Rattus norvegicus: one gene and its partners. The protein of the gene in region 2 interacts with the protein of the main gene of each other region in a biochemical or structural test. Links are inferred from orthologs where the notes say so. Each region holds a gene or a part of one and is shown on either strand. Other genes may lie near its edges.

Region 1 (5,128 bases), on a different chromosome or scaffold from region 2:
TTTTCAATTTTTTTCTCCCCTTCCAAAATAAGATTTCCCTAAGTGGCCCAGGTTGGCCTAGAATTCACTAGGTAGCCCAGGTCAGCTTTCAGCCTCATGAATGCTGGGATTGCCAGTGATCCTGGGTCTTGGGCAGGAACATAAAGGCATCCTATGTCCATGTCAGGTTTGTGGCAGCCCCATATGGGAGACTGTGTCACAAACAGTACACAGTAGAGGGTTTTGAAAATGGTAAAAGTTGGCTATTTTAAGGAATTACTCATAGGGCTGGAGAGTGAACTCAGTGGTTAAAAACCGGCTACTTTTCCAGAGAACCAAGGTTCAGTTCCCAGCACCTCTATGTGACTCCCGTTCCAGTGGGATCTCATGCTGCTTCCAGCAGCTGTGGACCCTGTACACATGACACAGACATGTGCAGGCATAAAACACTCATACATAAAACAAAAATATTTTTGCAGGAAATTATGTCACTTTGAGCTAGTTAATAGGGGTTTCTACCTTACCTGGGATCATTCAGTTCCCAAATAAAAGGCACAAAACCTTCATTTTTTTTTTAAACTTTTTTTTAAGATTTATTTATTTATAAGTACACTGTAGCTGTCTTCAGACACACCAGAAGAGGGCATCAGATCTCATTACAGATAGTTATGAGCCACCATATGGTTGCTGGGATTTGAACTCAGGACCTCTGGAAGAGCAGCCAGTGCTCTTAACCACTAAGCCATCTCTCCAGCCCAACCTTCATATTTATAATAAGTCTTAAAGCACTAGAGCTGGACAGACATCAACCTATGCTATTTTGCCTACTTCCCTATCAATACCCTGGAATTTTAATTTGCCATGTTCTTGCTGGGCCGTTCTTTCTCCAGTTGGCCAACCCTCATGGTGTCTTCTGTATGTTTGTGTCTGTCTGTCTGTCCTTCTCTCTCCTTCCTCTGCCTCAGAGAACCGAAACTCTGCCTACCTCTCTTCTGCCCAGCTATAGGCTGTAGGCATCTCTACTGACCAATCAGGGATACCTTGGTGGGCAAGGTTACACAGCACCACTTGGAGAAGCGGACTAGGGCCTTATTTAGCATTACAATACATAGCAACACACCAACCCTCAACATTGGCGAGATGGCTTAGTGTGGGTAAGCTGTTTGCCATGCACACTTGGTTCCTGGGTTCAGTCCCCTGAACCCATGTAAAGGTGGAAGAGTGAGCCAGCTCCACAGAGTTGCCTGACTCCAGTGCACACCCCACAGCAGATGCTCCCTCACAGTCCTCCTGCATGCACAGAGGAACAAGATGTCGTACAGAGGAATTACAGTAGCTCGGGGTGGAATAGATTGTTGTACATCTTAGTTTGGGAAATGGAGTAGATTTAAAGTGGGAAAATGGGGCTGTGGTCATACCAGCCTATCATAAGATCCTGGATTTGAACTTTCTTTCAACAATGCAGAAAAAGGGGGTTGGGGGGTAAAGGTTGAGAAAATTGCCTTTTAAAGAGAATGCTCTGCGTATGCTCATGTGGCTGCTTAGGTATAAGTTTCAAATATAATTGGTGTTGATGTTATTGTGGAACATACCTTTGTGGGAAATCATCTGCATTGTAGCTGAGCATTTAAGCAGGTAAGCAAGACAGGGAGAAGGGTGTTGGGAGAGCGGAGAGGTAGTTCTGTGCTTAAGAGTGCTTGCTGCTCCGTTGGGGATTTAGCTCAGTGGTAGAGCGCTTGCCTAGCAACTGCAAGGCCCTGGGTTCGGTCCCCAGCTCCGAAAAAAAAGAAAAAAAAAAAAAGAGTGTTTGCTGCTCTTCTAAGGGACCTGCCTGTAGTTCCCAGCGCCATTTGGCCTTGGTGGGCATTTTGCATGCATGTGATGCACATACATTAATGCAGCCTAAAACACATACTTGTAAATAAAAACATTTTTAGAGCATTCTTGACTACTGAATTCCAGTTAATTAGGTGAAATTGCATGTTTCCATGCATGAAGTGGTTTTTTTGTTTGTTTTTTCAGATCTTACCAATATATTTGAGTCCTTCCTGCCCCAATTGCTGGCCTATCCTAACCCCATAGATCCTCTCAATGGTGATGCTGCAGCCATGTACCTCCACCGACCAGAAGAGTACAAGCAGAAAATTAAAGGTAAGATGGCTTGTGCTTTTAGCTGGCCATTTAGAGTCTGTTTTGTTGTGTTTTGTTTTTTGAGACAAAATGTCCACGAAGGCCAAATGGCACTGGAAACTACAAGCAGGTCCCCTAGAAGAGCAGCGAGCAGTTTTTGGGGGGTTTTTTTTTGTTTTTTGTTTTTTTCTTTTTTTTCTTTTTTTTCTTTTTCTTTTTTTTCGGAGCTGAGGACTGAACCCAGGGCCTTGCGCTTGCTAGGCAAGCACTCTACCACTGAGCTAAATCCCCAACCCCCCAGCAAGCACTCTTAACCTCAGAACTACCTCTCTGCTCTCCTAACACCCTTCTCCCCCTCTTGCTCACCTGCTCTGTGTAGCCTTGGCTGTTCTGAAACTCACTCTTTAGGCCATGCTGTCCTGGAACTCGAGATCCACCTGCCTCTGCTTCCTCAGATTAAAGGGATTAAAGGTGCGCACCACCTCCACCACCACCAGCAGCAGCCTAAAGCCTCTTTAAGTGACTCCGTTTCTTGTAGGCTTTCTCTAGTCTGAGAAGAGACTGCAGTGGTCTCATTGACTACCTGTAGGGCTTAGAGCCTATGTTCCCACACTTGGGACCGACCACTTGCATAAGGCTGTGAAAGTACACCGAAAGCTGGAGTTGTGTCTGCTCACCTTCCTTTCTCTTCAGTGTGCCTTCTGGTTGTGCTACAGCCACCACCCCTGCTTGCCCTTACCTGGGTCTGCACTGGGAGCTTGCCTGTGAAACTGGTAGGTGCATAAAGCTTAACACAAAAGGAAGAGACGCCAAGTGTGGCGGCGTCTGCCCCTTGTGCACACACAGCTAGCACTGGGTTCCCGCCTGTTAGATAATGATGTGCTCATCTGCACAGGATATAGCACATCAAGAGCCTCAAGTGGGTCCAAACCCATTGGCCAACAACAGCAGTGAAGGAGAACTTGAGCACATAGGTCTCCAGTTTAGATGTGCAGGGCTCAAGTCAAACAGGAACACTGGGACCATGTGTCGAGTAATAGTTTTCTTCTGTTTGTTTCTCCTATCCCCAGGTCTCTATGGAGTATTGTTGAATATTTTTTTTTTTTTTTGGTTCTTTTTTTCGGAGCTGGGGACCGAACCCAGGGCCTTGCGCTTCCTAGGTAAGCGCTCTACCACTGAGCTAAATCCCCAGCCCTGAATATTTTTGTTTAAAGTAGAAATGTTCGTTTTCATAGGTCTCGAGTACTTTGCAAATTAATAACCTAATTTAATATAGCACAGTAATGTACATAGCTAAAAACCCATGTACTCTAAGTAAACTGCAATTTCAACCATATAAGATTTTGTTAGGAAACTATGCTAAAATTTTGACATTGCCTTCACTTACCAGTGTCTGTAAACCATGGGTATCTTAATACAGAAAATATTTATATAGTTCCAACACCCATTATGCCTTAGCAATATAGTACTGTCATGACTGTACTACAGGTTTGCTCTGGCCCTGGTTGCCAAGGAAACCAGACCTGTGTTCATCTTAGGGTAGATAGCTGCTTCTGTCTGGGGACCCCTAACTTTCTGTGGTGTCCACATTGAGTCAGTTTGCAACCCTTGGTAGGGTGGTGTGAGATGTCGTGGCTGTCAGGCCTGCGCTCTGCCCTGCTCTCTGCTGTACCTCTGCACACCAGTCCCCATCTTCCCTGTGCCTCATTCCTCACACTCACCCTCACCAACTTGTACATTTGCTTCCCTTACTACTGGGATCGCCCATTTCTAAAGCCCTTGTCTGCTGCTTTTAGGACTTATGCTTCCTGCCCTGAAACCATACCCCTCTCTACCAAAGCTGGAGCCTCACTTCCTCCAAACCTGTGGATCCTTCTCAGGCCCCATACCTGGGCCTCGCTACAACTCTGGTGTTTCCTTCTACTCTGGTTCTCATTCCCATTTCCTAAATGTGACTGTCTTAGTCAGGGTCTCATTGCTATGAACAGACCCCATGACCAATGCAACTCTTGTAAAGACAACATTTAATTGGGGCTGGCTTACAGGTTCAGAGGTTCAGTTGGTTATCATCAAGGCGGGAGCATGGCAGCATCACAACATCCAGGCAGGCCGGTGCAGAGGGAGCTGAGTTTCTACATCTTCACCTGAGGGAAGCCAGGAACAGCCTGAGCATCCCCAGGCAGCTAGGAGGAGGATCTCCAAGGCACCCCCACAGTGACACACTTCCTCCAACAAGGTCACACCTTCTAGTAGTGCCACTTCCTGGGCCAAACATATGCAAACCATCACAGTGACCATTCTCTTATGACCAATATACGCTTTTACCCCCAGGCTCCCCCCTCTCCCCTGAGTACCTTATCCATGGCTTTCAGTAATCCTCTAGATAATGTTGGCTCAGCGGGGTGTGTCTAGGCCTGACCCTTTTCTCAGGTCATCTTTACAGTGGTAGTCACAGCTTAGCACACTTCATCATAGAGAGTCGGAACTGCTTCTCCCCCAGGCCTTAGCATTTAGTCTACCTGATGCTGTTTACCTGCAGGTGTGGCACACAGCGCTGCTAGAGAGATGATGTCTCAACAGCGAATGATGTACACATACCAGTGACATAACACCTCCATAAGACCACACCTTCTGACCCGTCCCAGTTTCAATAACTGGGGGCCAAGTATTCAAATGGATGAGCCTACGGGGGACATTCTAATTCAATGCACCACACAAATGATTAAGTTCAGTTCTCAGCACCCATATCCACAGACCACTACTGCCTGGAATTTCGGCTTTAGAGGATCCAATGTCTCTGGTATCCTCGGGTAGTGTCCCCCTCTCCCCATAGACAGACACACCCATATCCACATCAATAAATATAAAAATAAATCTTTTAAAATGCAGGTGTAAAAACACAGTTGAGTACAGCCAGCCTGTAGGTGACATGGGGACCCTTGGTCTTGTCTAAAGATAGGTAACTCCCATGCAAAACCTTCACTAGTAAGCGAGCCGGCACTCAGGAGGTAGAGGCAGG
Region 2 (5,600 bases):
AAGCAACTTTCTTGTATACAGCGAGTTTGAGGCCAGCTTGGGCTGCATGACTCATTTTCTCAAAGAGCTAAACAAAATACAACAACAACTAAAAGGAACCAAAACTGAAAGTTAAAAACCAAAACTCCCCAAATAGCCTAGCTTTACTTCATTCGCTTATTTATACACAGCTTTCTGTGTCCAGGAGCTTGTGGCCTTCCTTCCTGCAGGAATACAGGTGACTCCCAGAGCTGACTTACACACACACACACACACACACACACACACACACACACACACACACACACACACACACACACAGAGTTTGTTTTGTTTTTCAGGACGGAGATTTTTCTGGGTAGCTCTGGTTGTCCTGAAACTCACTCTATAGACCAGGCTGGCCTTGAACTCAAAGACCTGCCTGCTTCTGCTTCCTGAGTGCTGGGATTAAAAGTGTGCACCCTCCCCCAATAGCACTCTCATATATATATTCTCCCCTCCCCCCACTTCTCAGGTTCTCATGTATCCAAGGCTGGCTTTGGACTCTTTTTTTTTTTTTTTGAAGTCAAGCTCCATTTATTTACAGCCACCACACACAGCAGTCCTCAGGCCAGTGAACACCCAAAAAAGCAAATCAAGAGTCAAACCCAAAAGGTCCAGGTACACACAGTAGGGCCAGATTCTCCTTTAGTGCACATAGACAAATCTTCCAGTCAAATGACTTGGGCAACCCAAGCTGAAGTCTCTTGAAACTCTCCTTGAGAGAAAGGAGTTATTGTGTGTTTTCATCCAGTCGCTGGAGGCTGTGTATTTCATTTTCTGGGTGAAAAAAACAATTCAGTTTAAGCAGATGACCTTGTGCAGTGTCTGGACACCGAAGAAACCTGTGCACAACCAGTGGGGAGGCTGGGGCACATCGCCTTCCTGCAACCTCCACCCACCTGGCCTCTGCACATGGCCCGGAGTCAGCCTTCTTCAGTGGGAGCCCCAGGTGAGGTTTCTAAATCCCACAAGGCTCCACAGTGCCTCTAGGCCACACCACATAATCTACACGTCACTCTGTGCCAGCAGCTGGGACTCTCTCCTCTTGCCTCAGCTTCTCAGGCATAAGTCACTCCACACCAACCTCTTGCTTCAATTGCATTTTTTAAAAAATGCCTTAAAATTATTTATATGTTTGGGTGTATGCATGTGTGTTTATGTACCACTTGTGTGCCTAGTATCCACAGAGGTCAGAAGAGGAAATAACAGGTTGTCTGGAGCTGGAGTTGTAGATGGTTGTGAGCAGCTTGGGGGACAGACCTAAGGTACTCTGGAGGAGTAGACAATGCCTCTTAACCATTGAGCCATTTCTTTAGCTTGGTACTTAAAATTTAAAGATGTGACGGAATGTTGTGTATCTGTCTTGTTACTGTAAGCAGCTCTGTGACACTCAGGGTTTAAGAAAAAGATCTAGGAGTCTGAAAAGGCATCACTGGAAGCTTGACGCTGAGAAGTGATCTGAGGAGAGAAGGAAAAGAGCTATGCAATATCTGGGATTGCAAGAATGTTCTAGACAGAGTGGCAAGGACAAAGTCCTCCAAGGACCAGGGGGAAAGGGTGAGGCACAGGTCAGAGCAATGAATGGGGCCAGATGGGTATAAATTGTAGGTCATAAGGAAGACTTTGATTTTTATTCTGATTAAAATTGATATTGCCAATTGAAAGATAAGCATATAAGAAAGTCTGGTGTGCCCAGGGAGGGCAAGTCCAGTTTTGAGCTGTAGGCTCAGTTCATTCATTTAACTACCTTTCTTGCATTCTCCAAGTGTTTGGGGGAGGGGATACTTTGTTCCAGGGCCTATGCTAGAAAATAGAGGAAAAATACCCTCACCTTAGTTATAGAGGAAGGAGGTCCTGCCTTCCCACAGGTGGGGTTAACACTGCCAGTGTGGCTTTGGTAAGTGGTCAACTTAGGAAATGAATAGGTTAACTAATAGCATCAAGGAGGAAGGCAGGCCAGCATAGAAGTGCTTGAAGAGGCAGCCCTGTTTGTCCACTGACTCTAAATTCTACCATGGCCTGAGGAAAGGACCAGGACAGGCGCGGCCAGGTGGCCTAGACATGGACATGTTCCTGCTGACTACTCACACTCCACATTTAGAACAGTTTCCAGAAAGTGGTGGGAGGGAGTGGATAGGACAGCTAAATATAGTTCTTGGGCCATTGAACTATCTGGGAGGGTCTGTCCACTATGTGCATGTCACCTGTTACGTCCACCCACTGCCATCTGGCCCTGAGTCCCTGCCCTTGCATTGAGCCTGCTGCTTGCTTCTTGCTTGTCTCTGGACATAACTCCGGTCACCCTGCTGTTAAGCCTGTTCCTGACTGGTCCTCCTGGAAATCTTTTCTGGCCTAAGTTTTCCCACCAGACCTGTAAGTCCTATGGGCCTGGAGATAAGGGGGAAAGAGAGGGTTAGGTATGCTAGAGAGAGGTCAGTGGAAGGTCAATTGGGGAGGGGATTCTAGATAATTCCAGAGGAACGAAGGCCCAGACCTAGGTCACAGGCTGAAGCCTGGGCTAAGTCAGTAGCAAGGAGTGGGTGGAATTGGGTAGTGTTTAGAAACCGGGGTTGATAAATGCCCCGTTGGGTCACATTTGCTTCTATCTGGGCTGAGAATGGCAATATACACTCACTTTGGGATGAGACCACATCCTCTTTACCATTTGACCATAACCAGAGTCTCTTCCACTATGGGATGTGAGGTAGTTATAGGATGGAGCTCTGGCTGCTGGGACACAGATCCCGCATAGGACTGAACTGGAATTCTTGTCTTTGAGTTTGTCTGATGGGACTCCTCTTCCCAGGCTCACCATGTCGACTGCACCAGGCCTTTTGCGCCAGGAACTGTCTTGCCCGCTGTGCTTGCAGCTGTTCGATGCACCAGTGACCGCTGAGTGTGGCCACAGTTTCTGCCGTGCCTGCCTGATCCGTGTGGCAGGGGAGCCTGCCGACGATGGCACGGTTGCCTGTCCCTGTTGTCAGGCATCTACTCGGCCACAGGCGCTAAGCACTAACCTCCAGTTGGCACGCCTTGTGGAGGGTTTGGCACAAGTGCCCCAAGGCCACTGCGAGGAACACCTGGATCCACTGAGCATCTACTGCGAGCAGGACCGCACACTTGTGTGTGGTGTGTGTGCCTCTCTCGGTTCACACCGTGGTCACCGTCTTCTGCCTGCCGCAGAAGCCCATGCACGTCTCAAGGTGCTGGACCAGTGAAGGCTGGGTGGGACTGCTGATTACAGCAAGGGTCTGACCTTGGGAAGCGAGTTGACTTATGTTATGAGCTTTGGAGGATGGGCTCTAGGTTGCTAAGGAGAGTGGGGGAGCTAGGCAGCCAGAAGATGGGTCCAAAGGCCGCATGTAGCATCTGCAGAGCAGAGCTCACAGGAACCAGCTGGAAGCTGCCTATAGAGTAGCTAGCTAGCTTGCTTGGCTGCAATCCTCCAGCAAGCCTGAACATGCCAGAGCCGGGTCTGACCAAACCGTGGTGTGTCTGGCATATTGGGGCTGGGAAACTACCCACACATTCTTGGGTGAACTGCTAGGCTGGCATGTTTGCACGGTGAGACTAGCAGACAGAAAGTTAAAGGCTTGCCCAGGAGTCCCAGAGGCCGGCAGTCCAGCTTCGCACTGATGAATGACAGAGGCCCACTCATTCCTGAAACTACTAAACTTGTGCAAGCCTGAAGTTTTCAAGGGCAGTGGGAAGGGTGAGGCATTCCTGGCCAAAGCTCACCATGGGTAGGTAGCACCAAGATTCCAGCCTAAGCTATTATTATAGTTTGAACTAGAATACAGCCCTTACACAATTGTGTTATCCTGAAGTTGCACCAGGAAAAAAATCCAATTGTCGTCAAATGGATATACACCAAGTACACAGACTCCTAAAATCATGTATATCCCAAGTCATGTGCATGTAGATATAGCAGATAGGTGTCTACCCAGCCCAGGACGGTCTATGGGGGAAAAAAAACCCCTAGCAGCAGGGGCAGAGGTGGGGGGAGGAAGTGGGGTCTGGAGGTAAGGAGTGGCCCTTCCCCAGCCCAGTGAAGCTGTTGCTATTGTGTTCTGCTGCCTCATAGGCACTGCTTTCTCAGCACCTAGTCGTCACTCTTCTTTGGTACCAATTCCCAAACGTTCTGGGGCCTTGCCTCACAACCCTCCTTCCTGTGCCCTCCTTAGTTCAGTTCAGTCCTGGCTGTGAGTCTGCTGTTAGGAGACCTCCCAGCCCAGTTCCTCTTTGCTAACCCCTGAACTCTATCTAACCTTACTCATTTTTTTTTCTTTTTTCTTTTTTTTTTCCGGAGCTGGACCGAACCCAGGGCCTTGCGCTTCCTAGGCAAGCGCTCTACCACTGAGCTAAATCCCCAACCCCAACCTTACTCATTTTTGTCTGTGAACTATATTTAACCTGTAAAATAGAAGTCTCTCAGGCTTCTGGAAACATAAGGGACAGACATGGAGCTCCAGTCTCAGGGATCTGCATCAGCTTAGCCTTAAGCCTTAGGAGGTCTGAAAAAGGAGACCCCAGAAAAGAGCCCAAGGTGGGGCTGGGGTGGAGACAGGAGGAGCTCTGGAGCTTTGACAGGCTAGAGGGTTGGGTCAGGAACCCACTTACCAGACTCAGTGTGGTTGGGCAAGTTCCTGGGTACTGGGGCCCGCACTGCCTTTTGAAGCTGTGCTGCACATCCCTGTACACCCATGTCCTGCGCCATGGTCGCTATGGGTTTGACACTGTGTAGTCCTCGAAGTAGGAGGCAACCGGCTTGGTGGTGAGGTTGATGGCATCCAGTGGCCCAGGTTCCCTCATCTCCCAGGATGTGTCAAAAGCCCTCGGGAGTGGAGCTAGCTTCAAGCTTGAACTTCTTGGGGTAGTCAGACACCCTAATACCTTCTGATGGTGCTTGTTTGCCATGGCTCAGCCCTGAGTCCTCTGAACCTCTGATCACAAGCACCTGGAGCAACCAGGCTATCCTCACTGACAACAGATGTGGATGCCTCAAGGAAGACCATCTGAGGAAGAGATTGATCTGGCAGCTAGCCAGTAGTCTTTGGTTCAGCCCTGTGGTTTCCTCTGGGCTGCTATTCCTCAACAAACACCACCTTGCGTCATCAGTTTCCCCAGGGGAGCAGGAGGTGTCATCTGGTTGAAGTGGGGGTGTTACTGTCCCATTCTGCAGAGGAGGAAGAGGAGGCTAAGAAGAGCAGTGGTGGTAAGAAGGCAGGGGTAACCACGGCAGGGACCTACTGTTAGAAGCTCTCCCATGCTTGCACTCCAGTGGTCCCTAGACAGCTCACAGAAGGCTTAGCTGGTCCCTAGTGGGTGTGTACACTAGATTTTCTGTCCTCGGAGCCCATAGGCCTGGAAAGGGCTGGCTAGGGCACCAGCTGACTATGGCTGCATTTTTAAGTAAGGGGTGAAACACAGGAAGGGAAGATTATACTCCCTCTCCTTCTTCCTCCTCCCCTTTTTCCTCCTCCCCCTCCTCCCCACTCCTTCTCTGCTTCTTCCTCCCCCTCATTTTCCTTCCTCTCTCTTCCTTCTTCTCTTCTGAGACAAGGTCTTAGGTATTGTTA
Region 3 (5,128 bases), on a different chromosome or scaffold from region 2:
CCCCCTCCTCTCCTTTTTAATTCTTCCTCCTTCTCCTCTCCCCCAAAACATGGCTTCTGTGGACAGAACTCAGATCCCCAGGCTTATTCCTGAGAATTCACACACTTAGAGCATTCACCAAGTAAACCGTCTTCGCAGCCTGCCAAGGCAGGGTTTACGTATCTTGTCTGAGCCAGTTGCACAAAGCACAATGTTTTATGTCCCATAAGCATAAAACTAATGCTGAGGGCATCATGGCTGATGAAATATATGCAGCAGTGTATATCACCTGGGAAGCAGTGACAAGATGAAGTTTGGGGCTAGAAAAATGGATCAGTTCTGTTGCTTTCATCCAAAGCTTCTTGGGGATGATTTATTTTCTCTCACATTTCCAGATCACAATGCATCATTCAGGGAGCTCAGGGCAAAACTCAAGGCCCAGAGGCAGGAACTGAAGCAGTGACCATGGAAGAATGTTGTTTATGGGTTAGCTACCTTTCTTATATAAGCCCAGGGCCACCTACCCAGGCATGGCACTGTCCATAATAGATTGGGCCCTTCCTACATTAATCATCAGTCAAAAACATGCTTCACAGACATGACCACAGGCCAATCTGATGGAGGAAGATTTTCAGTGAGGTTCTTCTTCCCAGGTGTGTCAAGTTGATGACCAAGATTAGCCATCACACCTGCAAATACATGAGCATGCATACACATACGCATATACACGTACGCATACACACACATAACCGAGACCACCCCTTTGCTCAAAAGTGGCCAATTAGCTGTTCTTTTTGCATTGGCCTGGATCATCCAGGGTTCAGTTGAGCATTAGATTCAGCTTGGTCTTCAATACCGAGTTATCTGCTGACTCCTCACCTTTCAAACTCAGCAGGACCAGTTGCTACTTATGTGGATGAGGCCCATGTAAGCAGTAGCAGATCCTATACGCCCCTGTTTTCATTGTAGACCTAACACAGTCTAGAGTCACATAGAGAGAGAATCTTTTTTGGTTCTTTTTTTCGGAGTTGGGGACTGAACCCAGGGCCTTGCGCTTCCTAGGCAAGCGCTCTACCACTGAGCTAAATCCCCAACCCCATAGAGAGAGAATCTTAACTGAATCCCAGGTCAGACTGGTCCTCAGTCATGCCTGTGGAGCATTTTCTTGGTTGACGATTGATTGTTTAGAGGGTTTCTTGCTGGCCCAGAGCTCACCAAGTAGACTTGGCTGGCTTGGCTTTGTTTTTGATTGATTGTTGAAATGAGAAGAGCCATTCCATGGACTGGGTCTTGAGCATGAGAGTGGAGAAAGCTAAGTTGAGCAGCCGGCAGGCATCATCCTCATGTCCTCTTCTCTGCCGTTGACTGTGGATGATGAGAAATGATCAATGACTCACTACCTTAGTTTCCCTGAAATGACAGTCTGACCTGTAATTGTAGCCAAACAAACTCTTCCTCCTTTAAGCTGCTTTTTTCTTATGATATTTTATCACAGCAACAAAATGAAGACAGGTCTCCTGCCATCCTTTGATCTAACTCTCTTCCCAAAGAGGCAGGAGGTTGACTACTTTGGTCTGAAGCTAACTATTCAATCCAATTGCCTGACTTTTTTTTTTCTCTTGACCCTTTCTAGGTGAAAATGAATTACTTAAATTCTCTTTCATCCGGACGTCTTTTGACAAGATCTTGCTGAGGTGGGAGCCCTACTGGCCCCCCGACTTCCGAGATCTCCTGGGATTCATGCTGTTCTACAAAGAGGCGTAAGTAAGAGGAGGTAGATGTTTGCTCCTTGTTGCAGAGACAGACAAAGACTGTCAAGAAGAAGTTTAAGGAAGGGAAGTTCCATCTTGGCTCACAGTTTACATGGTGGGGTTGTCATAGCAACAGGAACATGAAGCAGCTGGTCACATGACATCACGGCTGACAGGAGGCATAGAGATGAATGCTGGCGCTCAGATCATGCTCCCCTTTAAAAGAAGATGTTTTACGCATTCCTTTACATTTTCACACATCTCTGTAGTATAGTGTGATCATATCCATCCACCATGTTCTCCCTCCACCATCCCCTAGTGTGTCCATCCTGCTAGTCCCTAAGCTTCACATGCTCTCTGTGTTGTTAACAAGCCTTTGAATTCAGTAAGTGCTGCCCATGTGTGCATGCATGCACATGGAGATATCCCTAGAGCATCCATGTCCCCAAAGGACTACTCCTCCTCTAGGAGAGGACCTTGGTGCCCTCCGCCATCCTTGCTGAAATGTCAATCGGCTTGATCTGGTTCAGGCAGTCCCAGCTGGCATGAGTTGCTGTGTGGAGCGACCATGCCATGTCCGCCATGTCCAATAGTCAGCACTGCACAGCTCCTCCCATTTTCCTCTTCATTTAGGCTGGGGGTGTATCTACCTGTCTCCATCTCACGGTGCTGGCATTGCAAATGTTCACTACCACACCTGGCCTTTCCATGGGTGCTAGGGATCGAACTCTGGTCTTCGTGTTTGTACGGCAAGCTCTTTGTCCACTGAGCCATCTCACAGGCCCAGCGGTCATATGTTGCTGACTCATGTAGGGAATATGAAATTTTCTATGGGGAACATAGAAAATGTTGGAGTGGGAAGAAAAAAAAAAAAGAATGCCTTGACTACACCTAAGCTACCACACACCGTACACCCTCGCTATGCCACAGAGCCTTAGTTATTTACCCTTATGGCTCCATGGTAAGTTGAGAACTGATACTCTGTGAGCGTAGTCAGCATTGTGAACTCATCACACTCTGCCGCGAGCTTGGGAGAGGCTGGAGAGGAAGCTCAGTAGTTACGTGTGCTTACCATGCTTCCAAGGACCTCAGTTCGCTTTCCAGCATCCAAGTAAGGCATCTCTCAACCATCAGAACCAGGGGTCCAGTGTTCCCTCTGGCCCTTGAAAGCACATACATGTGACTGCACACACTCAGATGCACATTCCTACTTCTAGAAAGACACATGCTGTGGAATGTACTTAAAGTCTCAAAGTACAAAGAAGCAGACATGGACAGATCTTTTGGGGGCTCTGACTAGCCAGAGTAGCTTTGGAGGTGAATTTTAGGACTGCAAACACAGGTGGCACTCAGATGTGAATGCCATTAGTCCCAGCACTGAGGACACAGAGGCAGGTAGACGTCTGTGAGTTTGAAGCCAACTAGGACTAGAGTCCATCTCAACAGACAGAAAAAACAAAGTTCATGGAACCTGATGCTGTTCTCCAGGTCCACGCACATACACTTCACCCTGTAAACACACACACACACACACACACACACACACACACACACACACACACACCTGCACCTGAACACTAAATCAAAGAGAGAAGTGAGTCTACATCTCGTAACTCTCCCCCACTCCACTTAGTACTGAGATTGACATTTACACAGTGGTAACCCACCTCTCCCTCTCATTTCTCAAAAGCCCTTATCAGAACGTGACAGAGTTTGACGGGCAGGATGCGTGTGGCTCCAACAGCTGGACTGTGGTGGATATTGACCCGCCCCAGAGGTCCAACGACCCTAAGTCTCAGACCCCAAGCCACCCTGGGTGGCTGATGCGGGGCCTCAAACCCTGGACCCAGTATGCCATCTTTGTCAAGACCTTGGTTACCTTCTCTGATGAACGCCGGACCTATGGAGCCAAAAGTGATATCATCTATGTGCAAACAGATGCCACCAGTAAGTTTGTCCTGGGAATAGGGCTTTGCTGTTGAACCGACTCTGTATCTGTGGTAGGCAGCTTCTGTAACAGGCTTTGCTGTGGTTGGCCTGTAGAGGAGCTAAGAGCTGAGGCTCATGTTTTCATATATAATGACTATAACCCATGAACCACTTCAGAGTTCGAGAGTTCCCTTTTGGGTTGGGAAGATGGCTTGGTGGGTAAGACTGTATGATGCTCCCATTACCACATTGAAAGCTGGGTATGACCATGTTCGTGCTCCGGAGTCCTGGGTCCCAAGGGTTTCCATGTACTTGCCTCTACTCCCAGAGCACTGGGGCTCAAGGACAGGGCAAGGTGATGCTAGGATTTGATAGTTGCCAGCCTAGCTTCAGTTTCAATGAAAGATCCTGTGTCAAAAGAGTAAGGTAGACAGTGATAGAATGGGATGCCTGATTCCTCTGCTGGGCTCTGCGCATGCAGAGGTACCACCTATCTAACACACACATGCACACCTCCCACATATAACACATGCTACATATAACATACCACATACAACACATGCTACATGTAATACACACATGTATACACACACAGCACATCTAACACATACCATATGCAACACACATGTACACCTGCCCATCATATATAATATACACACATGTTACATATAACACACACATTGCATGTAACACACATGTGTAAGTATGCATATATATAACACACATACTACATATACTATACAGACACCACATATAACACAGTCACCACATGTAGCACATGTATATGCACACACATACCACATATAACACATATCATATGCAGCATACACTCACTCATACACACCTGCCCAACATATATAATATGCACACATATTACATGTAACACACACATTGCATGTAACACATATGCACAAATGTGCCTATACATAACACATATAATACACATACTACTTATAATACTCACACAGATACCACATATCACACAATCACCACATGTAGCACATGTGTATGCACACACATACCACATATAATATGCTCACATACCACATAAAACATATTTGAACATATACTAGAACACACATTCACACATCTAACACACAATGTAAGTGCACACACACATACACACACATGTGCACACAGAAATGGACACATGCGGGGTTGGGGATTTAGCTCAGTGGTAGAGCACTTGCCTACCAAGCACAAGGCCCTGGGTTCGGTCCTCAGCTCCGAAAAAAAAAAAAAAGAAATATGAAAAAAAAAAGAAGTGAATTCAATCAATAAGTATCTTAATTAGTTAATTAAAAATGAGAATTAGCCCTGGTATACACATCTGTAGTCTCATCACTTGGGAGGCTGAGGCAAGGGAATTGTGTGTTTGAGGCCAGCCTGGATTACATATTAAGACCTTGTCACAACCTTAAAACAACAATAAAATAATAGTGAAATGTTTGGGGGTAGAGGCAGGAGGA

Evidence for each region.
Region 1: the proteins of Trim72 (region 2) and Ube2h form a complex in vitro, tested with the Homo sapiens proteins (2 studies listed by BioGRID). The link is inferred for Rattus norvegicus from reciprocal best matches to the Homo sapiens genes TRIM72 and UBE2H.
Region 3: the proteins of Trim72 (region 2) and Insr form a complex in vitro, tested with the Homo sapiens proteins (2 studies listed by BioGRID). The link is inferred for Rattus norvegicus from reciprocal best matches to the Homo sapiens genes TRIM72 and INSR.

Annotation. Positions count from the first base shown.
Region 1 is NC_086022.1:59,809,567-59,814,694, reverse strand, and holds part of Ube2h (ubiquitin-conjugating enzyme E2 H), read left to right. Parts: intron 1-2,001; coding exon 2,002-2,130; intron 2,131-5,128. UniProt on the Homo sapiens protein: Accepts ubiquitin from the E1 complex and catalyzes its covalent attachment to other proteins. E2 ubiquitin conjugating enzyme that transfers ubiquitin to MAEA, a core component of the CTLH E3 ubiquitin-protein ligase complex.
Region 2 is NC_086019.1:192,041,907-192,047,506, forward strand, and holds the start of Trim72 (tripartite motif-containing protein 72), read left to right. Parts: upstream 1-2,313; 5' UTR 2,314-2,394; intron 2,395-2,827; 5' UTR 2,828-2,834; coding exon 2,835-3,224; intron 3,225-4,641; exon of another isoform or gene 4,642-5,043; intron 5,044-5,094; exon of another isoform or gene 5,095-5,236; intron 5,237-5,600. UniProt on the Homo sapiens protein: Muscle-specific E3 ubiquitin-protein ligase that plays a central role in cell membrane repair by nucleating the assembly of the repair machinery at injury sites.
Region 3 is NC_086030.1:6,030,287-6,035,414, reverse strand, and holds part of Insr (insulin receptor preproprotein), read left to right. Parts: intron 1-1,612; coding exon 1,613-1,739; intron 1,740-3,420; coding exon 3,421-3,677; intron 3,678-5,128. UniProt on the Homo sapiens protein: Receptor tyrosine kinase which mediates the pleiotropic actions of insulin.